Tamandua tetradactyla: one gene and its partner. The protein of the gene in region 2 interacts with the protein of the main gene of each other region in a pairwise test. Links are inferred from orthologs where the notes say so. Each region holds a gene or a part of one and is shown on either strand. Other genes may lie near its edges.

Region 1 (12,104 bases), on a different chromosome or scaffold from region 2:
TGAAACTTAACCCTGCAAAGGATAGGTCAAATCTACTTAAAATTTAGGCCTAAGAGTCACCCCCAAAAGAGCCTCTTTTGTTGCTCAGATGTGGCCTCTCTCTCCAGCCCACACAGCGAGCAGTCTCACCACCCTACCCCTCTCTATGTGGGACATGGCTCCCAGGGGTGTGGACCTTCCTGGCAACGTGGGACAGAGATCTTGGAATGAGCAGAGACTCAGCATCAAGGGATTGAGAAAAACCCTAGAATGAGCTGAGACTTAGCATCAAGGGATTGAGAAAACCTTCTCGACCAAAACAGGGAAGAGTGAAATGAGACAAAGTGTCGATGGCTGAGAGATTCCAAACAGAGTCGAGAGGTTATCCTGGAGGTTATTCTTATGCATCAAGTAGATATCACCTTGTTATTCAAGATGTAATGGAGAGGCTGGAGGGAACTGCCTGAAAATGTAGAGCTGTGTTCCAGTAGCCATGTTTCTTGAGAATGATTGAATAATGATACAGCTGTCACAATGTGACTGTGTGATTGTGAAAACCTTGTGTCTGATGCTCCTTTTATCTACCTAGTCAACAAAGGAGTAGAACATATGGAATAAAAATAAATAATAGGGGGAACAAATACTAAAATAAATTTAGTTTGAAATGCTAGTGATCAATGAAAGCGAGGGGTAAGGGGTATGGTAGGTATAATCTTTTTTTTTCTTCCCTGTGTTCATTTTATTTCTTATTCTGTTTTTTTATTTCCTATTCTGTTTTTTTATTTCTTTTTCTGAATTAATGCAAATGTTCTAAGAAATTATGAATATGCAACTAAGTGATGATATTGATAATTATGTATGTTTTATTTTGTTTATTTTTTAATTAATAAATTTTAAAAAAAAGAAAGGAAGGCAGTAGCAGAAGGGAAAGATAGAAGACAAGTAAGTGGGCAAAACACAGTATGGAACCACTGGAAAAGTGCATTTTGAACTGGGAAGCCAGGAAACCTGGGCTTGAACCCCAGCTCTGTGGCAAAATGGCTGTATGACCTTGCCTGGTGTCTCTTAAGGTTCTCTAGGACTCAGATGTTTCAGCTGTAAAATGCAGATAATTTTAGTACAAAGGACCAGAGTAGATGGGGGAATTAAATAAGATCAGACATGTCTGTGTAGTCCAAAAGGTGGTATGTGTAAGAAAACTTTAGCTGAGACATGGAAGAACATTTTAGTGGTTGTACACTTATTTTAGGAGTGAAATACAACTAATGCAACAAATTTGTGATTTCCCAGGTGTTATTACTTAAGACAAGTTGCTATTTAAATTTTCGAAAGTGGCTGTGGATACTTAAGATGTATTCATTTCGTCATATGTAAACATTATCTCAAAAGAAAAAACAAAAGCAAAATATTGAACTCTAGTTAATTGCCTACTGAAGCATTTGGAGATGAAGTATAGTGATGCCTACACCTTACTTTGAAATGCGTCAAAAAATAAGGTGGATCTACTTAAAATTATGCCTAAGAGTCACCCTCAGAGAACCTCTTTTGCTACTCAGACATGGCCTCTCTCTCTAAGCCAACTCGGCACTCCCCCACTACGTGGGACAGGACACTCAGGGGTGTAAATCTCCCTGGCAACCTGGGACAGAATTCCCAGGATGAGCCGGGACCAAACATCATGGAATTGAGAAAGCCTTCTTGACCAAAAGGGGGAAGAGAGAAATGAGATAAAGTTACACTGGCTGAAAGATTTCAAACAGAGTCAAGAGGTTATCCTGGAGGTTATGCATTATATAGATAACCCTTTTTAGTTTATGGTGTATTGTAGTGGCTGAAACTATTGTGCTGTGTTCCAGTAGCCTTGATTCTTGAAGACAATTATAAAAAGATATAACTTTTACAGTGTGACTGTGTGATTGTGAAAAACTTGTGGCTGATGCTCCTTATATCCAGGGTATGGAGAGATGAGTAAAAAATATGGATAATAAATAAATAATAGGGGGAATAAGGGGTAAAATTAATTGGGTAGGTGACACTACTAATGGTCAATGAGAGGAAAGGGTCAGGGGTATGGAATGTATGAGTTTTTTTATTTTTCTGGAATGATGCAAATGTTCTAAAAATGATCATGGAGATGAATACACAGCTATGTGATGGTATTGTGGATGGATTTAATTGTATACTTTAACTGTATACTTTGGATGGATTGTATGTGTGTGAAGATATCTCAGTAAAACTATTTTTTTAAATTAAAATACAGTCCATGCGAGAAAGGGGGAAAATTCAACTTCCCCAAGTGGAGAATTCTTGATAGTCTCACAAGCAGTGGGGACAACCAAAGCCATAGCCTGCGCCCCCAATCTTGGGGTTTGTTCATATGAAACTTAACCCCGCAAAGGATAGGCTAAACCTACTTAAAAATTAGGCCTAAGAGTCACCCCCAGAGAACCTCTTTTGTTGCTCAGATATGGCCTTTCTCTCCTGGCCAACATGACAAGCAAACTCACTGCCATCCCCCTCTCTACATGGGACATGACTCCCAGGGATGTGGACCTTCCTGGCAACGTGGGACAGATATCCTAGAATGAGCTGGGACACAACACCAAGGGATTTTGAAAACCTTCTCGACCGAAAGGGGGAAGAGAGAAACGAGACAAAATAAAGTGTCAATGGCTGGGAGGTTCCAAACAGAGTTGACAGATTATCCTGGGGGTTATTCTTATGCATTAAATAGATATCACCTTTTTAGTTAAGGTGTAACAGAGAGGCTGGAGGGAACTGCCTGAAAATGTAGAGCTGTGTTCCAGTAGCCATGTTTCTTAAAGATAATTGTAAAATGATACAGCTTTCGCATTGTGACTGTGTGATTGTGAAAACCTTGTGTCTGATGCTTCTTTTATCTACTTTATGGACAGATGAGTAAAACATATGGATTAAAAATAAATAATAGGGGAACAAATGTTAAAATAAATTTAGTCTGAAATGCTAGTGATCAATGAAAGAGAGGGGTAAGGTGTAGGGTATGTATGAATTTTTTTGTTTTCTTTTTATTTCTTTTTCTGAATTGATGCACATGTTCTAAGAAATGATCATGACGATGAATATACAACTATGTGATAAAAAAGAATGTTTTTATGTTAAGTTTTATCAATAAAACTATTTTTTTAAAAATACAGTCCATGTATCGACTGTATGTGTGTGGAAATTTGTCAATAAACGTATTTTTTAAAAAATAAGGTAGGTTGATGGAGAGAGGGATGGATAATGAGACAGATGTGAAATAAAGCAAATATAGTAAAATAATTGTGGAATCTAGGTGGTGGGTATATGGATGTTCATTGTACAATTCTTTGAACTTTCATATGTATCCTTCAATTTCTGTAATAAAATATTGGAAAACAAAAATAGTTGCTTGATTTTAAAAAGAATATTAAGTCAATAACAGCACAGATGGTAGAAGGAATTGACAAAAATCATGAAGGTGGTGATGAATGAAGTTTGGTAAACACAGACTTAGATGAAGTTTCTTTGACCAGTGTTAGCATGTTCTGGGAATGTGAGGTAGCGCAGGGGAAACTGCTGAAGCAAAAAAAAAAAATTTGCAAAGTGGAAGCCGCTAAGCCCTGGAGGCAGAGCCTGGGAAGGAGGGGGGAAACTTCTCACCTTTTTTATCATAGCATCGCATCAAACTAAGAACCCACTGGTCTTTGCTGTGCCCACACACACTCCGGGAATGAAGCTGGAACCTGCAAGGGAAAAAAAAACTGTTCTCAGCTGCCGGCTCCCCTCTTCCCCTCCCCCTGCCCTGCTCCTTCCTCATTCCAAAGGAATGAGGTCACCGCCAAGAAAGTCTTGTCTGCTGGAACTGGGAAGTCCCCAGGTAAGTGGGGCTGGGAAATGAATGTGTGGGGAGTTGAGGTCCGGGAAAGGGGGGTATGCCCACCCCAAGGAGTTCAGCTTTAGATCAGAAAAGGGTCCTGGAGGCGCCCGGCAGGAATGAGGCAGGCACTCCCTTCCTTCCAGTGGTGGGTGAGAAGATCACCTGATGTAATGCGGACAGCGCTGGTAGTCTCTCAGATGTTTTCGGAAATGTTCCATGTATTCAGGCGTTGGTGGGGAGCGCGAAGAAAATGATTTATCACAGGGACAACTTCCTGTGATACTGGCCTGGTTGCCATCGCCTGAGCAGGAATAGAGGTGGACAACTCAAGTTCCCAGGCCAAGGGAGCTCCCCCCACCCCCGTTCTTATTTAACCCCAACCCACTGACCCACTGCAGCCTCTCCCCTAGACCCCAGGGTCTGATCCCAGGCTTAGCTGACCCCCAGGCTTAGCCCTCACATCACGCCTCGCCCCCAAAGACGTCTGTAGTCGTACCTGAACCCAGGTGTCCCCTAGCTTCTATCCCCAGGCAGCTGGTCTTCCCCTTGCCCCTGCTACCCTGCGCCTGGCTCTCCATTTATACAGCCCCGCGGCCGTCAAACTTCCCCTCCCCAAGCACATCCCCTTTCCCGGACGCAGGGATCCAGACTCCCGGCCCAGCCCCTGACGAACCTGGCAGACTCAGCCGCGCTAGCAGGAGGAACAGGAGCGCGCGCGCGGGGGGTCGCCGACCCCGCCTCATCTCGGGGTCTCGGTGGCCGAGGCCACCTCGCCCTGCCTGCCTCCCGGACGGGATCCCGGAGCGTGAAGTCGGGCTGGTTTTCCTCCCCTGCTCCGACTGAACGTCTGGAGAAGACGGCGGCCGTCGGGGCCGGGTCCCTGCTGCGGAGCGGGCGCGAGGTGACGGCGCTCCCACCGTCGCGAACGGACCGTGCGGTCGGTACCGCCCGCGACAGGGAAAGCCCCGGAGGCGGACCTTCGCCCCGCGCCCCCGCGGGCCGCCCGCCCTCCCCAGGTCAGCAGGCGGGACGGGCGAAACCAGCGAGCGGCGCAGCCTCCCTCCGGGGCGCTTTCACTTCTCCCGGCCGGGCCCCGGGCGCAGCCGAGTCCAGTCACATGGCCGGAGCGAAGGTGGCGAACCCTGGCCAGCGCAGTGACCCTCGGTCACGGAGCCCACGGGGGCGTGGCCACCCGAGGGGCGGGCCGAGGGCTCGGGCCGCCCTGACGTCACGACTGCCCTCCCCGTGGTATTTACCTTCGAAAAGTGGTGGCGGCTGCAGGTACCGGAGTAGCGGGCGGCCGGGAGGGGCGAGGTCTGCTGGGGCTCACCGTCAAACCGAGCCTGGCCGAAGGGGTGCCCCGGCCCTCGTCCCTCCTCCCACGCCCCACAGACGGGTCCAAAATTCTTCCCTCCTTGCCCAACCCTTCCCAGTGGGATTAGCCCTCCCTCATCCCCAGCCTATACTCGAACCCGACTTCTGAGGGTTTGAACCCTCAAATTCTAAGCCCCCAAATTTTGAGCCCCTGAGTGATCACCCTCTACCCTAATCTCTCATTTCCAAAAAGTAACCTCCCATCCTCATTTCTGAATTTTTATCCTCAATCCTGAAACCCTATTCTCAGTTCCTCCAACTCATCTGCAGACTTCACCTTAAAGTACTCACAAACCCACGCCAGCCCACCCCCACCCCCGAACTCTCTCACACTACCCGCCCCTCACCATATGTCCCTTCCTCTGCTCAGTCTGGGCCCAGGCCCTGTGCCCCTGAAGACATGGAGTTTGTGTCTGGATACCGGGATGAGTTTCTTGACTTCGCTGCCCTCCTCTTTGGCTGGTTCCGCAAGTTCGTGGCCGAGCGTGGGGCTGTGGGGACAAGTCTCGAGGGCCGCTGGCGACAGCTGGAGGCTCAGATCAGAAGGCTGCCCCAGGACCCGGCCCTCTGGGTGCTCCATGTCTTGCCCAACCGTAGTGTGGGCATCAGCCTGGGGCAAGGGGCAGAGCCAGGTGCTGGGCCAGGCCTGGGGGCTGCTCGGCTCCTGGGAGATGAGGCCCCCCTCCATCTGCGAGACCTGAGCCCCTACATCAGCTTGGTCCGCCTGGAGGATGGGGGGGAGGGGGAGGGGGAGGAAGAGGAAGAGGAAGAGAATGGAGAAAAGGAAGATGCAGGCCCAGAGAAGGTGGATCTGGAGGAGGACAGCGCGCCAGCTGCGACCAGTAGGGACTCCCCGCAGGAAGCAAACCCCTCAGGGGTGCCAGAGGAGGCTGAGCCGGAGGTTAGAAGTGGCGAGGATGACTGCCGAGAGAACAAGGCAGAGGACGAGACAGCCTCTGAGAAGAGGAAAGGACGGAGAAGTGGTAAGAACCAAGGGTTGGCCTTGCCCTATCCCCTGCCCAGCTGAGCTTCACTTCTGGAACCCTCCCCCGCCAGCCAGAACTCAGTCTGGACTGAAGAAGTGTCTTCATTAATCCACAGTACTTTTTGTTTTTTAATTCGACTCGACATTTAAATATTAAAAGAAAAAGAAATCCAGAAGATTAATACCTTCTCAAGAAAAATCTAAACACATTTCTGTAGGGCAGCAAATGCTGGTACCATGAAGCATTCTTAGGCCCTTTTACTCACTGGCATACTTGCCCAGCCCCAGTAGGCATTTGGGACCCCTGACCTTGTCCATCACGACACCTGTGACTTTTTCCTCTTTTCCCAGAGGCTGACCCCCTGCACCTCTCCTGCCTCTTACTGGTGACAGATGAACATGGTACCATCTTGGGCATTGACCTGCTAATGAATGGAGCCCCGGGGAGCACAGGCCGGGGCTCAGGGACAGAGAACTTGACGCACCTGGTTCCTCGGGCCTACGCTCTCCTCTGCCACAGCATGGCCTGCCCCATGGGGTCTGGGGACCCCCGAAAGCCCCGACAGCTTACTGTGGGAGACCCCCAGCTGCATCGGTACAGAAACATGGCATGTGAGGGTGGGGAAGCCTAAGGACCTGGACTTCCAAGCCCTGGGCCTGACACCATCTTCACACCCCACTCAGAGAGCTGGAGAGCCTGGTTCCAAGATTGGGAGTGAAGTTAGCCAAGACCCCAATGCGGACATGGGGTCCCCGGCCGGGCTTCACCTTTGCGTCCCTTCGGGCTCGAACCTGCCATGTTTGTCACAGGCATAGCTTTGAAGTGAAACTGAGGCCCTGGTGAGCAGCTAGCAGAGATGGAGTACGAGGGAGGAAGACCAGGCAAACAGAGAGAATGCAGGCTGGTGGGGGACTCAGCAGACAGATGGAAGGAGGGCCAGGGAGACAAGGAACAAGCCCTTACAGTTAGAAAGACAGACAAACAGGCCAACTGACAAATGGGCAGCTTAAGGGCAGACAGATGGCAGACAAAGCACCTACAGAGAGAGCAACTAGGGGCCCACCAGCCGCCGTGTCTCCCAGCCCCCAGTGTAGCGCTGTCTTGTACTGTGGAGAAGCTTGTCTCCGGGCTGACTGGCGGCGGTCCCCAGATGATGTGAGCCACCAATTCTGGTGCCCGAGGCTTGCAGCCTTCATGGAGCGGGCAGGAGAACTGGCAACTCTGCCTTTTACCTACACCACAGGTACTTAAGGTCAGGATGGGGGCCAAAAGCTGGGATTAGAGCTTTGGGATTGTGGTCTGGGTGCCTGGAAATGGGTACAGGGTCCTGGGATTGAAGGCAAAGTGCTTGAGGATGGAGTCTAGACCCCTTAAAGATAGGCTGGTGTTTGGGGTTAGGGGGCTAGTTAGATCCCTGGGGCTGGAGCAGGGTCTCTGAAGCTGAGGACTGAGTACCTGGATCCTTGAAAGAGTTTAGGAGATTCAGGGTTAGGGACTCAGACAGCTCCCTTCCCAGCTCTACCATTAACCGGCAGTGTGATTTTAAACAAATCTCTTTAGTTCTCTGGCTTTGGTTTTCTCATCTGTAAAATAGGGAGACTAACAAATGTTGAAATCCATGGATGGGGATGCATGGCTAGTTCAGTGATAGAAGGCTCTCCTGCCATCGGGAGACCCAGGTTCGATTCCCAACCTATGCACCAAAAAACAAACAAAAACCCATAGATGGAATTGTCATAAGGATTATGTGGACTTGGTGTCTAGGTGGTAAAATATTAGCTCCTTCCCTGATTACAACCAGATTCAGATTTGGGGTCCTTGAGGGAGGCTGAGGAGAGTGAAAGTCTGGGGTCCTAGCCACCAGGCCCTCAACCCCTCCTCTTCCTCCTTCTCCAGAGGTGACCAGTGAAACTTTTAACAAGGAGGCATTCCTGGTGTCCCGGGGCCTCACTCGTGGCTATTGGACCCAGCTCAGCATGCTGATTCCAGGCCCTGGCACTCCCAGGCACCCACGGGGCAGCGCACCATCCCTCAGCCTTCTTCTCAGTGGTGCGTGGGGCATCTCTTCAGACATGGGCCCCTCAGCCTACAGGGGAAAAAAGTTGTCCGAGTCCCAGATAACCCCTCCACATCCACACCAAACTCCCCCCTCTCCCAACCAGCACCTCACTCTGTGCAGCCCATTCAGAAGCTCCATCCCTACCAGACAAACCCCCATTCCTCTTGCTGCAGCTCCAGGAGCTCTCTCAGGGGACACAGCTCCTTTGGAAGGAAGAGGGGGATGGCCCAGGCGAGGGTCTTATCGACATCAGGTCCTTCTCCCTTTCATCCTCTCAGGAGATCCCTACCAGCTTCTCCAGGGGGACGGGCCTGCCTTGATGCCTCCTGTGCCCCCAGATCCACCAAGAGGCCTCTTTGGTGAGTTGGAGGAGCCCAGAGGGACCCAGGGGGCAGGAACAGGGGCTGGAGGGCTGGAAGCCTAGGTTGCTCAGAAAAAGGGGGCTGTTACATTGGAGGAGTTGGGGTCCTGGCCTGCGGCCGGGTCCTCCATTAACCCACTCTCCCCAGTCTCTTGGCAGGATTACTACACATGGCGGGGCCTCGGCTTGGACTCTCCCATGGCCGTGCTTCTCACCTACCCTCTGACAGTGTACTATGTCATCACCCACCTTGTGCCCCAGTCCTGTAAGGAAAGCTGGGGCAGGGAGGAGGGCCTGGAGCAGGGGGTGTAGGGAGCTGGTAGGGGGCTGGAGGGAGAAAAGAGGGAGACTGTATCCTTCAAAAGCTGGCTTCTCACCAGTCCCTGAGCTCAACATCCAGAACAAACAGTCACTGAAGATCCACGTGGTGGAGGCCGGGAAAGAGTTTGACCTTGTCATGGTGTTTTGGGTAAGTCCCTCCAGGCTTGAGGGTTGGGCTCCGGAGTATGGGGGTGGACGCAGGGTGGGACCCAGATCTGTCCTGCTCTCTGTCCTTCAGGAGCTCTTGGTCCTGCTCCCCCATGTGGCCCTGGAGCTGCAGTTTGTGGGTGATGGCCTGCCCCCCGAGAGCGACCAGCAGCATTTTACTCTACAGAGGGTCAGGACTAAGGGGAGCCCTGCTCTTCAGCCCTATCTCCCTACTGTCCTCCCCACTGGGCCCCTCCTTTCCTCTCCTTCTCCCCTGTCTTGCTTGGTGCATTCTCCAGGACTCTGATTTTCAGTGGCTTCCCCACCCCGCTCCTGGCCCCCCAGGATGGCCCTGAGGTGTCGGTCCGCCCTGGATCTGGGGTATCAGCACGGCTCAGCTCTGGGACTAAGGAGAAGGGGGGGCGCAGGGACCTGCAGATCAAGGTGTCAGCACGGCCCTACCACCTGCTCCAGGGGCCCAAGCCTGACCTGGTTATTGGTGAGAGCCTGGGGCTCAAGGGAGGAGGAAGGAGGCATGGAAAAGGTGGAGGAGAGGCAGACCATGGGAGCCAGCTTCTCCCTGCTCTCTGTCCACAGGATTTAACTCTGGCTTTGGTCTCAAGGACACTTGGCTGAGCTCTCTGCCCCGATTACAGGTGGGGAGGGGTTTAAAAGAGAACTTCTCTGGCTACCTGCCCTGCCTCTCCTTTCGTCTGAGAATCTCTGGGCCCTTTCCCATCCTCTGCTCCCAACATGTGGGGAGCGTCCACAGGTCCTCTTGCCCCTGTCTGCCTTATGCCCCTCCCCTGACAGGGTCTTTTCTGGAGCCTCAGTTCCCAACTCTGTCTGCCATCCTTGTGGCTTGGGATTGTACCTGGGAGGTGTGGGGGAGCTTCCCAAGGCGCGTCTCTGAGGCCCCACCCTACTCGCAGTCCCTCCGAGTGCCGGCCTTCTTCACCGAGAGCAGCGAGTATGGCTGCGTGATGGACGACCAGACCATGGCCGTGGCCACAGGAGGGGGCACCAGCCCCCCACAGCCCAACCCCTTCCGCTCTCCCTTTCGCCTCAGAGCGGCCGACAACTGCATGCCCTGGTGAGGGCCCACGACCCTCCCTATTTCCTTCGTGACCCTCAACTCGTCCTCTTCCTCTCTGGCTCCACATCTAAAAAGGCCCACCTCTGCCCTCTGCCTCTCCAGCCCGGTGTAACCCGCCTTCTCCGCCTCCACCGCCCCCCACCACCCCTTTTAAGATCCAGCTCACAGACTCTTCCCAACTCCTCGCCCCACCCTCGAAAGGACCCTGCCCCCCTCTAGCTCGCCTGGCCCCGCCCCCGGCCCGCCTGGCCCCGCCCCTGACCGCACCCACGCGCCCCCCTCTCAGGTACTGCAACGCCTTCATCTTCCACCTGGTCTACAAGCCCCCGCCCGGCAGCGGGGCCCGCCCAGCGCCCGGCCCCGCGCCCCCGGCCCCGCCGCCTGCCGCTCCTCCCGCCCCCGCCCGAAGGCGCCGCGGAGAGAAGAAGCCCGGGCGGGGGCCCCGTCGGCGGAGGTGAGGGCTGAGACGGCAGCAGGCCACCCCCGCCCGCGACGCGCCGCAGAAAGGAAAAAAATGGGAAAGCGCCAGGCTGAGGGGGAGGATTGGTTGGCGGAACATGGAAAGGTAAATAAAATTACTTGTTTGAAATCACTGAGTCATCGACCCTTTCATTATACGCCAATGACTAGGAAAGGATAAGGGCGGGGAGAGAAGATTTAGGGCTGACACTCCTCCAGTCCCTTTCAGTCCCTCCAACGGCTGTCCCCTCTCGGACACACTCTTTGGTGATCCCAAACCTCTTAATAAGCCATTTTCCGGTCCGGGGAAACTCAGGGTCCTGCCCCAAGGATGGAAGTGGTTTCCCACTAGGGGGACGGGGTTTGCATAGGAATGTTCACCTAACCTCCTAGGGGCATACTGATCCCTTGGTTTAGATTCAGTGAAAGGCCCCAACCACCCAGTTGTCCAAGTCAGGAACCTGGCTCCCATCCTTGACTCCACTTTCCCTCATTCTTTCTATCTAATGAACTCTTACAGAGTCTGTCTCCTAAAGGCGCCCAAATTTATCAGCTCATTTCCTGTCCTACTGCAAACTCGGCTGTATCTCCTCTCTGCACTGCAGCCAGAGTATTCTAAAACAGGCATTTGAACAAATCACTCCCCTGCTTAAACCTCTTCAGTGACTTCCCTCTGTTCTTAAAATCCCTTTGGGTGTAGGCTGGATTTAGTGACTCACTTGGAAATAATAGAGTATGGAAAGGGAGAATTAGTAGAGAAACCTGGAAAAACACCTATTTAATCAAGTGATCAAGATTAATAGTAAATAATAAGTTGTGTTGACATCCCGTGCCCCATGATGTAATGTGATGAGTAGGCCTCCTTGCCTCTGTGTTATTCTTCCCCCCAAAATATAATCTCAGTCTAATCATGAGAAAACATCAGACAAATCCAAATTGGGGACCGTTCACAAGAATTTAACCCCTATTCTTCAAAAGCATCAAGGTCACCAAAGGCAAGATAAGACCAATGCCAAGTAAAATAAAAAGGCAACTTTCACTGGAACACCTATACTGAGAAGAGATTTTTCCCTAAGATGAAAACAATTGACCTGCAGGGACTTTCCAAGAAAATGAAACACACTCTACATAACTGCAAATAAGCAATTTCTGATGATAAACCAGTTTCTGTCCAGTAGAGAGAGCTTATCAGAAAGGACCAGCATACCATACTAATTGGTGTATATCTGCTCCATTTTGTAAAACTCCACTTTGTAAAAATGGAAACAATGTAAACAAATCAGAACATTTCCTTACTTGTATCAGTGTTTGCCCTGTATCAATTCACTCTCTCCACCTCTTTGGCAGAGCTCCCTTCTGTTTTGTGAATACAATGCTGCCCAATTCATGAATTGCTCAATAAAGCTGTGAGATCCTAAACTGCCTGAAAAGTTTTTCCTTTA
Region 2 (10,956 bases):
AGGTAGGGCCAGAGACAGAGCATTTCTAACGAGCTCCCAGGTAATGCCTCCACTGCCTGGTCCTGGAACCACACTTCAAGGAGCAAGGTCTTTATGGCCCTCGGTGAGAATTTATTTTGGATTGCTGGGCCACAGGGTATACGTGTTCTAATTTGATAAGTGTTAATCATTTGCTCCCCAGCCTGGCTATTCCACTTAACTCCATACCAGCAGGGAAGAAGGTGATAGGTCTATATTTAAGGGAGAACAAGGTCTTCTCTTTGCTCTTGCCCATGTCCTGCCCCCAAGGGCCTCAGGTTTGGGCTACAGCCACCCTTCTCCCTTAATCCAATGCCCCCTTGGATTGGAGTGACGTCACTGACCAGCAGTACATAGCAAGTCAATGGTCCTGGCATCCTGGTCCCACCCCTAACCCGTAGGACACTGGAGCCTTGGCCCACCAGGCATCTAGACTGGTTTGACTCATGACTTCAAAGCCTGGGCTTTATCTCTAAGGAAGCTCTTAAGCACAGGTGTTGAGAGGCCTCTGGGCTTTGGTGAGGTTGTATTACCTCCAGCTACCATAGTTTTCCTTTAGTAGCCATTTTGAATTCTCAAATGGCTTTCTTTGGCCACTTGCAAGTGACTACCCTGAGCCTGACTTCTCATCTCTAAAATGCATAGTAGTAGCATAGCTATAATTTCGGAGCTAGAATCCAATCTAGGTAGTCACCCATGTGCCAGGAGCCCCTCAGGAGCCCCACAGGAGCCCTAAGGCACTTGTTCTTACTTTTATTATACCCATGAGGACAATTAAATTCAGGGAGAGTTAGCAATTTCCACCAAGACCATGGAGCTAGAAAGTGACAGTGCTGGGATTCAGATTTAGCCTCAGCTAATATGCTAAAGCCAAGTCAGCCACAAAGCCGTATCAACTTTGTGTCTCACTTTGTCCTTGCCACCAGACCATATTTGAGGCACTGATGCTGAAGGCATCTAACAGTGGCAAGCAGGGTTGTAAAATCTGATGGTAAATGGATGTTGGCAAAGACGAACTAAGCACTCATCAGGTCTCTAGGGGTGGCCAAGCCTCAGGGTCCAAATATTTAGATGGAAGGAGAGGGGACTTATGTCTATGGCTTCTAAAGTGGGCATTTTAGGGTTAAATAAGGAGAAAGGGTCAGGGCTGGGCAGGAACTAGAGGTTGGGGATCGCTTCAGGGTCAGGAATGGGGCGGGGTCGGGTAGGTAAGTTTGTCTTATCATGTATCCTACTTGGTAACACCTGATTACTTAATGTTTGGTTTGGAGGGGTCAGCAGATGTGCAGGTGGCCAGTCTAGGGCCTCAAGGGATGCCACCTTCCAAAGCCCTCCTGGTGCTGTGAGCAGTGTGCTGGGTCAGCTTTGGAAACCTGTGGGCTGTGCCTCCCGCACTCACACAGCTGTGCGAGCACTCCTGGCACCAGGCCCCGGCCCCAAGCATTTCACAATCAGAAGAATTTAACATCTGCACATTTTGAGATCTTTTACATCTTGTCCACACCCATCCATCCATTTCAAGAGCCAAACTTCTATCTACGACAGAGCATTTTTCTGAAGGCCCAGGGAAGCTGTCTGCTCTTTCAGCAGCCTTCTGGGTCAAAACACTTTTTTTCAACCTACCGAATGTTCTTTGTGTTCAAAATGTCATCTTACAGTTTTCTGATCCTTATAAAGTACTTCACAAATGAGTACTGCCTTTGACTCACAAAACCCCCATGATAGGTTGGGACCCTTTTAACACTGAGGCCTCCAAGGAATTAACTGGCCAAGGCCACACGTTGTGTAGGTGGGCCAAACGGGGCTTCTTGTTTGTTTTTCCACAAGGGACCTTAGGAGCCTTAAAAGAAGAATAACTACTCCCTGGAACTCTCACTACCCTGGTCAGCCCAATTTCCAGACTTGGGGGTGTGGACTGTGGCAGGAGGTAGGAAGTCAAGGGAGCAGAGCGAGCTTGTGAGGCTGGGAGATGAGTGACGTGAGGTCTCGGGGGGGGGGGGGGCTTCTGCCCAGCCCTCTCCCCCTTAAGCTTCTGTCAGTGGGGCCCTCTCAGAACTTGTGGGGCTCCTGGAAGTGGGAAGAGGAAGAATGGAGAGTCAGCTGTACCCAGGTATAAATTCTCAGTGAGGTCTGAGACTGAGACAGCTGAGCAGCTGAAAGAAGAAAATGCTGCCAGTTGCCAGAAGCCTTTGGTGGCTTGGCCAAACTCCACCCCTGGCTAAGCTCTCTGCCTTTTCCTGGGACCGCACACCAGGCCCCTGCAGTATCACATTGAGGGAAGTGCCCAGAGCCTGGCACGTCTATCCTTCCAGCTCCAGCAACACCACACATGCCCCGGCCTGTGCTGGAGACTGGGGGCTGCTGGGGCAGGAAAGTCCAGATTCATTGCCCTCCCTCCCCTCCGGTTTCTCGGGCCCTAGGCCTGAGCTCAACAGACACAGGCAGTGGGATGGGGTTGCCTTTCTATTGGTCCAAGACCTGAGCGTAGCCAGGGTGAGACATGGAGGTGAGGAGGCCCACGAGGCTCAGCAGAGTGGAGAAGAGCAGCAGGAAGGAAGCGGTGAAGAGCAGGGCCGGGAGCGCACTGAGCACCAGCAGCAGGACGGCCGGCAGCAGGTGGCGCCACGCCGCTGCCACCACGGGCCACAGGGAGCTCAGCAGGTGGGAGCCGGTGGTGAAGAGCGCGTGGCACAGCATCAGAGCCAGCAGCAGGTAGAGGATTCCCTCAAGACCCCACAGCACACGCTGCAGCGGTTGCCGCCAGCCGGATGTGGTCCACCACTGGGCCCAGCTCCGGGGCACGTGGCATGCCCACCAGCGCAGCCAGCCCTGCCGAGTCATCCAGGTCGACCAGGGCACCTCGGGCTGCAGCCCCTCGCCGGCCCCGGTGGCATCCGTCTCCACTCGAGGCTGCTGCATCGTGGCTGGTGCACCTGGGGAGAGGGCCAGGCTAGCTGCAGAAGTAGCCCTGAAGAAGCCTGGGACCAAGGGCCGGGTTCGTGGTGGGAGGAGTGTTACGGGGGCAGGAAGGTGCCAGCGTGGGTGGGGTGGGGCTGTGAGCTGGGACCTGGGACTTACCTCTGGGCAGAACCACTTAAGTCATGTTGCCTCCTACAGAGCCCGGGACAGCCTGGCAGCCAGATTCGAGCCCCCATGCTCACCCATCCCCCCTCCCTCCCCAGAGGAGCCCCATTGTGACCCGGGCCGGGGTGGGGTCCAACCATTAGCAGAGCCAATTCAGGGGGAGAAGTTCATCTGAGTCCCTCTCCATGGACCCTCTGGGCTGGCAGGGATGCCTAGGGAGCTCCATGGACCAGTACTCTCATACTTTCTTATGGGAAAGCCCTCCCTGTATCTCTGTCCTTTCCCTGCCGGCTGATATACAGCCTCTCTCTGCTCTCTCGCAAGTCTTTCTCTCTGGATTCTCATTCCCTAGGGGCACAGAGGAGGCCAGAATAGCCACCCCATCCTGCAGACTCTGAAATGGCTACCACATCTGCCCTGGATTCCCTGTCTCTTATGGCCCCACTGGACCCCCAAACTCGGACCCAAGTCGTGGGGCCAGGGAGTCCCAGATGTTCGCGGAACCCAGCCCAGGATGGAGGAAAGCAGACCCGAGGACGTGGGACGGCCCATGTATTCCTGGAAGGCGCTCAGACCCAAGGGTGGAGGCAGAAAGCCAGGCCGAGCAGGGTCAGGGGCATGCCACGGGCTCCCAGGAGCAACCCCAGACCCATGAGCAGCAGGAGCAGTGCATCCTGGAGGCTGATTTGTCCTGTGGCTGTCCTGACTGGTAGGAGTAGAGTCCCCAGCTGTCCTGGACCCTCACCGGCTCCCTGACTCTGGCCCCCTTCAAGAAGCCTATGCTGCGGCAGGGAAGGAGTTCCTGGTCTGTAGAGAGAGAGAGAAAGAGAGGTTGCCAGGTTTAGGGAGGCTGATCACTTGCCCACCTGCCTACACACTTGCCCACCTGCCCGGCCGTCTGCCCACTTACCTGTGGAGCAGGTCGAAGGCAAGGAAGCTGACCAGTAGCAGCAGCAGCAGCAGCAACAGGGCTGGACCAGCAGTGGAAAGGACTGCCCGAGCTGCCAGTCCCAGCGCCCCCAGCCCTAGGGCACTGTCCAGGAGCTGAACCAGACCAGGATCCCGGGGGGTCACGTTTGGCCCCACTGGTCTGGCCAACCCTTCCCCGGCACCCAGACCCCTCAGAGGGACTGGGATGGGATTTGCAAAGACTTCGGGCCTGGGGAAGCAGAGCCGGCTCATGGAGGGAGGTGAAGGTCACAGGAAGGGCTAGTGTTGGTGGGAAGGGAGAATGGGTGGGTGGGAGCATGGGAGGAGGTGGGGCCCTGGCAGACATTCAAGGGCGAGCTCAAAGAGTGAGAAATCAGGCTTCTTGGGAATCTCTCCCAACCGCATACCCACCCACTAAACCCCCCTCACCTCCTCCCACTTCGGGCACCCATATGGGACTGGCCGCTGGGGCATTGTGACCTGTAGGTGGAGGCCACTCAAAGTCAGTGGCCTGGGCAAGGCTTAGCTGAATGGAGGTCAGCACTGCCTGAGAACTGAGACCCTCTTGCAACCTAACTCTGAGAGAGACCTAACTCTGCCTTAGGACCTTCCCCTGGGGATGGCGTCTGAGTTCTAGAAAGGCATTCTAACCCTGTCACCACAAGAGCAGCCGACCAGGGTGGAGAAGGAAGGTCTGCTTTCTTCTTTCCATGGGTTTCCAGAGTTGTGTGTCAAAGGGCAACTCATTCAATCTCCTTGCCCGCACCTCTCCCCTGCGAGTGAGGTGATGCCTGTTGGCCCTTGTGGTGACATTTGAAACTACAGACCTGGAAGGCGGAGAGAAGCTCTGCCAGGAGGCAGCCTGAGACTCTCTTGGGCTGGGTGACCTGCTGAATGGGAGGGAGGTGGGGGCAGGAGGGAGCTGTTCGGGTGATCTAAGCATACTCAACTCCGGGGTTCAAGAACTGGGGCAGAAGATCAGTGCATAAGAAGGCTGCAACATAATAACCACAAACCTGGAGGTTAAGGTTATCGTTTCAGAATGAAATTAAGGAACATCAACATGCACTGAAAGCTCCCCACAGATGTCAACCAGGGTCACCGAAGGGGATGCATCCTCTGGCCTTTTAGCCCCTGGTGGCAGCGGGAGGCCAGATCCAAAGCCAGCTCCGCACCACCACCAGGGGACGACTCCTGCAGGAGGAGACCATCCCAGGGCAGACTGTCAGGTCACCAGCACCCCCTACCCCAGGGACCACTCTTGTGGGGCTCTGCCGCCTGGGTCTTCCTCTTCAGCAGCCGTTCCATGGCCACCTGTGAAAACAGCCGGAGGAGAAGAAGGCAAGAACTAGGAGGAACTGAGCCCATCGGGTGCTCCAAAGTAAGCCAGATGGACTGGGGTGCTGAAAGGAGCTAGTGCTCACCAGAATGGCTCCATAAACTTTGGGCCCATTTGCTTTGACCTGAGCACTAGATACAGAATAATCATGCAGCACAGCCTGCAACTTTGTTCAGTAAGTAGACTGATGTGGGTGCAGGACTGGTTCTACTGCCTGCAAAGGAGAGAAGAAATTTAGTAAGCACCTCTTTGTGGCTTACGGCCTCTGGAGTACCCTTTCCCATGAAAGACTGACTTTTCTCTCTGATTCTGGGCAGGGCTTAGTCCTCCATGCCGACTTCATGCTCTCCATGCCTACTTCACATATTCAACCAACCTTTGTTTGGAACCTACTGTGTGCCCAAGTCTCTGCTAAGCACTGGGCATAAAGATAGGGCACTAAGACAGGCAAACAATATAAAATGGCTTCATATCATTACTATATGTGCCACGGACCAAGAGGGTATAAGTAATGTCCTTTGTTAACAACACTGAAATTTATGGTTTGCAAACACTTACCCTATGCAATCAATAGACAGGTATGGCCCCACTTAGATGTGAACTGGGACTCAGTTCAATTTATCTACACAAAAACAAGCAAATCAGGGGGTGCACGAGTGGTTCAGTGGAGAATGCTCACCTGCCATGCGGGAGACCTGGATTGAATTCCCAGCCCATGCACCCAAAAAATAACAGAAAACAAACAAACAAAAAAAAAAACAGACCAGAACTTGGACACTGATTATACTAATTTTAAATGCTGGGATTAATTTGGGGGAAAGCACTCAAGACATCACAGAAGTGGCATTTATGATTGACTTTGAAAGAAAGGAAGAGTTTTCTGATCACTCATCCACAGCCCCTGAGGATCTGAAAATGTTGATAAAATTGACAAATTCCTAGAAAAATATAACTTACTGCTGACTCAAGGAGAAACAGGGAAGTATAAATAATCTTGCAACTGTTAAAAATATTGAAACAGTAGTTAAAAAGCCAACCACAAAGAAAACAACATGTCAAAATTACTTTAGAAAGATTTACAGACAGTAAAGGAAAAGTGCATTCCATTCTTAATGCAAACCGATATAAAAAGGAAACACTTTTGTTTGGGGTCCTGAAAAAGTCTTGTTAATGGACGGTGGTGATGGTAGCCCACACTGTGAATGTAATTGACACCACTGAATTATGTATTTGAAAATGGTTGAAATGGGAAGTGTTGTGTTGTATGTAATGTTAACCGCAATAAAAATTAAAAAGACAAAAAAGGAAACAGGGATTGGTCACCTGAAAAGAAAATCTATCCCCATTGAGAGTCTGAAAATGGGTGGTGGCCACACATCTCAGTTCAGTGACTTGAGAAGCAAGAGTGGAAATGGCCACAGGGGGCTGAGGGTGGGGCCGCCGTATGATCGAGAAACCCCACTGCTCAGTATATACCTGGAAGAACTGAGTGTGGGGACACGAATGTACATTTGCACACTGGTGCTTATGGGAGCAGTGTTCCCGATTCACAATGGTGGAGGTGGCCTAAGGGTACAACATCTGAGGAATGGAAGGGGGAACTATGGTGTATACATACAACAGAATACTGAGCAGCCACAAGAAGGAATGAAGTTGTGAGATATATTAAGATATATTAAGGCGAATGAACCTTAAGGACTGGATGTTGAATGAAGTGTCAGAAACCAAAAGACAAATATTATTATGCCTCACTCGTATGGACTAACTCTAATATAAAAGCTTGGTGAACTGAAGTCGAGAGCATGTGTGATCAGGTTGGGTCTATTGTAAAGGGTCTTAGACTGTAAGCGCTCACAGCAGTCACATCTGTTCCAGAGTTGCAACTGTTATTCTAAATTCTGAGATACTGAGCTGTTTGTATATAACATGGTCTTTCCCAGAAACTTCAGGTATTTATGTGACACCTGAGACTCAGAGTTAGCGCTCTGAAGCTATGAAAGTCAGCAGTACCCCATACAGGAACTGTTTGAGAGGTTGAAAAAGGGATTAAACTTTGACAAGAGTTGTGAAGGAAGCTGATCTGGATAGCACTAAGGGAGATCAGAATACAGGGTAAAGGATGATATCGTCCATATTTTAGAACTTCAACTTTTGTGTGAGGCCAAAGGAAGAGATGTTTATTTGGTGCAAAATGCATATTTAAATTTAACTTCTATGGTCAGTTTACTTGAATGCTCTAACTACATGGAATCTTGAATAGGGCGTGGGCTTTTGTTGGTTTGTGTCAGGAAAAAGGATACACCCCCGACACGGAGACTGACGAGCACAGGCAGGAGGTTGATTAGTGAGCACATGCAGTATAGACTTCAGCCTGGGGAAGGACTCGGAAAGAACCTTTGTAGTAGAAGGGCTGGAGGCTTTTGTTGGGCATGGGAAATTGGGGGGTTTTGTTGGTTGGGTTAGAAGTGGAGGGTCAGTTGGGAAGTTGTACGCCCTTCATTGGTGGGGTTTAAGATTTAAAGGCTGCTATAGTTTGGTAGGGTTGTAGCTGCGGGAGTTTTGGCAGACACTGAGTGAGGGGATTTATCAGTGCGGTTGCCAGAGGGTGGATGTTGGGTTGAAAGTTTATTCCAGGAATGCCGTCTGCAACTGCTGTGTGGAGACGTGTGAAGTGCTAGCTACACTGTGGGAGGCGGGGCAGGAGGGTTGAGGGTCCTGGGGAATTCTAACAGTGTGTCCACCCCCAGAGAACCTCTACTGTGACTCAGATGTGGCCTTTCTCTCTCTAAGCCAACTCAGCAGGTGACTGCCCTCCTCTTCTACGTGGGACGTGACTCCCAGGGTATAAATCTCTCTGGCACCATGGGACAGAATTCCTGGGATAGCTGGGACCCAGCATCAAGGGATTGAGAAAGCCTTTTTTTTTTTTTAATTTTTATTAATAAAACCAATCAACATACATGAACATTCTTTTTTTATCACATAGTTGTATATTCATCATCATGATCATTTCTTAGAACATTTGTGTCAATTCAGAAAAAGAAATTAAAAGAAAACAGAAAAAAATGCATACATTCCATATCCCTTACCCCTTCCTTTCATAGATCACTAGCATTTCAATCTACTAAATTTATTTTAACATTTGTCCCCCCTATTATTTATTTATTTTTAACCCATACGTTTTACTCATCTGTCCATAAGGTAGATAAAAGAAGCATCAGACACAAGGTTTTCACAATCACACAGTCACATTGCAAAAGCTGTATCATTACACAATCATCTTTAAGCAACATGGCTACTGGAACACAGTTCTACATTTTCGGACAGTTCCCTCCAGCCTCTGTGTTAGACCTTAAATAAAAAGGTGATATCTATTTATTGCGTAAGAATAACCAAGGGATTGAGAAAACCTTCTCGACCGAAAGGGGGAAGAGAGAAATGAGACAAAATAAAGTGTCAGTGGCTGAGAGATTCCAAACAGAGTCGAGAGGTTATCCTGGAGGTTATTCTTATGCATTATTTAGATATCCTATTTTAGTTTATGGTGTATTGGAGTGGCTGAAGGGAAGTACCTGAAACAGTTGAGCTGTGTTCCAGGAGCCTTGATTCTTGAAGTTGATTGTATAAAGACACAAGTTTTACAATGTGACTGTGATTGTGAAAACCTTGTGTCTGATACTCCTTTTATCCAGGGTATGGACAAATGAGTAAAAAGATATGGATAATAAATAAATAAATAATAGGATTGATAAGGAGTAATATAAATTGGGCAGATGGAAATACTAGTGGTCAGTGAGAGGGAGGGATAAGGCGCATGGGATGTATGAGTTTTTTCCTTTTATTTCTTTCTCCGGAGTTATTCAAATGTTCTAAAATAAGATATTGTGAACCATTGAGTGTAGCTCATGTATGGAGTATACATATGTGAAAATTTGTCAATAAAAATTAAAAAAAAAGAGTGGTAATTGGTCATAATTCAGAGAACTGAATTCTTGTTCCCATATCATACTTTGAGGGAAAACTGATGGGGGAGGTGTGTAGGTAAAGGCCATCTAACCCTTAGGAGGAGAGGACAGAACAAGAATCAGGCTGTATATTTGCCTCCAGGGAACCCTGCCCAAAGGACTCACCTGGCGGCCTTGACTCACCTGGCAGTGATGGTTCAATGGCCCATAAGATTAATGCCACTGGCCCGCAGGAATAATCACCAATTGTTTTTTCTCTAGCTCTTCTTGCTTATCCAGGAACCAGGCTTCCAATGTAGGTTTGTTCTTGAGGGGATAGGATACAACAGAGAACACCAGCATTTTTTTTGGCAAGTTCCAATTTTCTTTGTAAATAAGCAAATTAGCATTAAGATTTAAGATTGCCAGTACCCCGAGCCTGATCAAGTCTAGATAACATTCATAACATTCCATTCCTGGACATGCAGAACGGAGGGTCATGCCCAGATAATGTGTTAAGTTGAGGCTATTCTATACTGGGGGTAGTGGGGGTGCCTGAAAGATTTACTATGCGCCCTCTGCTCTGCATACATTTATAGGAAACTTTTATTCGTGATTTCCTCAACATCAGAGTTTATTTTTTCATTCTTCAATTACTTAGCAAGTTTCTCCTGTGTGCCAGGCACAGTGCCAGATGCTGGGTCATGATTACCAAAAGCAGAGCCTGAGATGGGGATGCTGGTACACGTGATTTATTTAGGGAACACTCTCAGGAGGAAAACCTTTAGGGAAGTGAGGGAAGGGAAGCAGGATGGGGGAGAGAAAAGAACTAAGTAAGGGCATGGTCTCAGCTGGAGCCTGGCCTCAGCCTGATCCCACAGGGAATTCTAGAAGGTGAATTGCACCATCGAGTGGTTTGCATCGTGGACCCTGTGTCAGTCGGTCATTGGCTGTGGCTCCTTTACCCTGGAGGGGGTGAGTCAGCTCCTGTCAGCTGAAGGCAGTTAGTTTCCTGGAGAAGAGAGCACACAGCTATGAGTTATAAGCAGCACCAGCCAGTAAAGGGACCTTGCCAGCAGCATATGCTGCAGTGGGTGCTGTGTAGTAAAGGATTAGCCCAGCAGGCCTGCAACGTCCACACATTCCAAAGAAACATTCTGCCCTTACCCAGCTTCTGGGAGGAAACTTCTAAGTCTTCAGAACACCCTGCCTGATAAGAGTGCCTTTTTTTTCGCCTGGGAAACTTTCAGCCACAGCCATACCAGATAGTTGATGCTAACAGTGTGATTTGTCGTGGCCTTGGGCCACTTGGTATCAGCATGACCTCTGCAAGAGCAAGAGACTAAGGTTGGCCATGTGGGCGGTCATGGCCTCGTTTCCTGCAAAGATTAAGTGCCTCTCAGAGTGACTGGTTGTGAGATTCCTATTTCCTTCAGGGCAAAAGCTCACCCAGGTGGCCATGGTATGGCTTGGCCTCCTTGGTTCCCACAGACAATCAGAAAGAGTCTGAACTTGAGGCCCCAGCTTTTAAAATTGTCTTAGTTAGCTATTGCTAGTAAACTACAAACCCATCCCAAAACTCAGGGACTTAAAGCAATTTATTCTGTCTCATTATCTGCAAGCTGCTAAGTGGTTGTCTGA

What was found.
Region 1: the proteins of TMEM239 (region 2) and CXCL16 interact in a two-hybrid assay, tested with the Homo sapiens proteins (2 studies listed by BioGRID). The two-hybrid records come from large-scale screens. The link is inferred for Tamandua tetradactyla from reciprocal best matches to the Homo sapiens genes TMEM239 and CXCL16.

What each region holds. Positions count from the first base shown.
Region 1 is NC_135332.1:60,644,606-60,656,709, reverse strand, and holds the start of CXCL16 (C-X-C motif chemokine 16), read right to left. Parts: upstream 5,636-12,104; coding exon 5,624-5,635; exon of another isoform or gene 5,604-5,623; intron 5,203-5,603; coding exon 5,116-5,202; exon of another isoform or gene 5,051-5,115; intron 4,930-5,050; coding exon 4,533-4,929; intron 4,161-4,532; coding exon 4,022-4,160; intron 3,726-4,021; coding exon 3,643-3,725; intron 3,364-3,642; exon of another isoform or gene 1-3,363. Other genes in the region: ZMYND15 (zinc finger MYND domain-containing protein 15), read left to right, coding at 5,634-6,216, 6,570-6,813, 6,903-7,058, 7,302-7,462, 8,116-8,268, 8,557-8,637, 8,788-8,904, 9,020-9,108 and 5 more. UniProt on the Homo sapiens protein: Acts as a scavenger receptor on macrophages, which specifically binds to OxLDL (oxidized low density lipoprotein), suggesting that it may be involved in pathophysiology such as atherogenesis. Induces a strong chemotactic response. Induces calcium mobilization.
Region 2 is NC_135327.1:24,533,898-24,544,853, reverse strand, and holds TMEM239 (transmembrane protein 239), read right to left. Parts: upstream 3,223-10,956; 5' UTR 3,097-3,222; intron 2,952-3,096; 5' UTR 2,938-2,951; coding exon 2,482-2,937; 3' UTR 2,469-2,481; downstream 1-2,468. Other genes in the region: C1H20orf141 (uncharacterized protein C20orf141 homolog), read right to left, coding at 3,672-3,909, 4,013-4,284.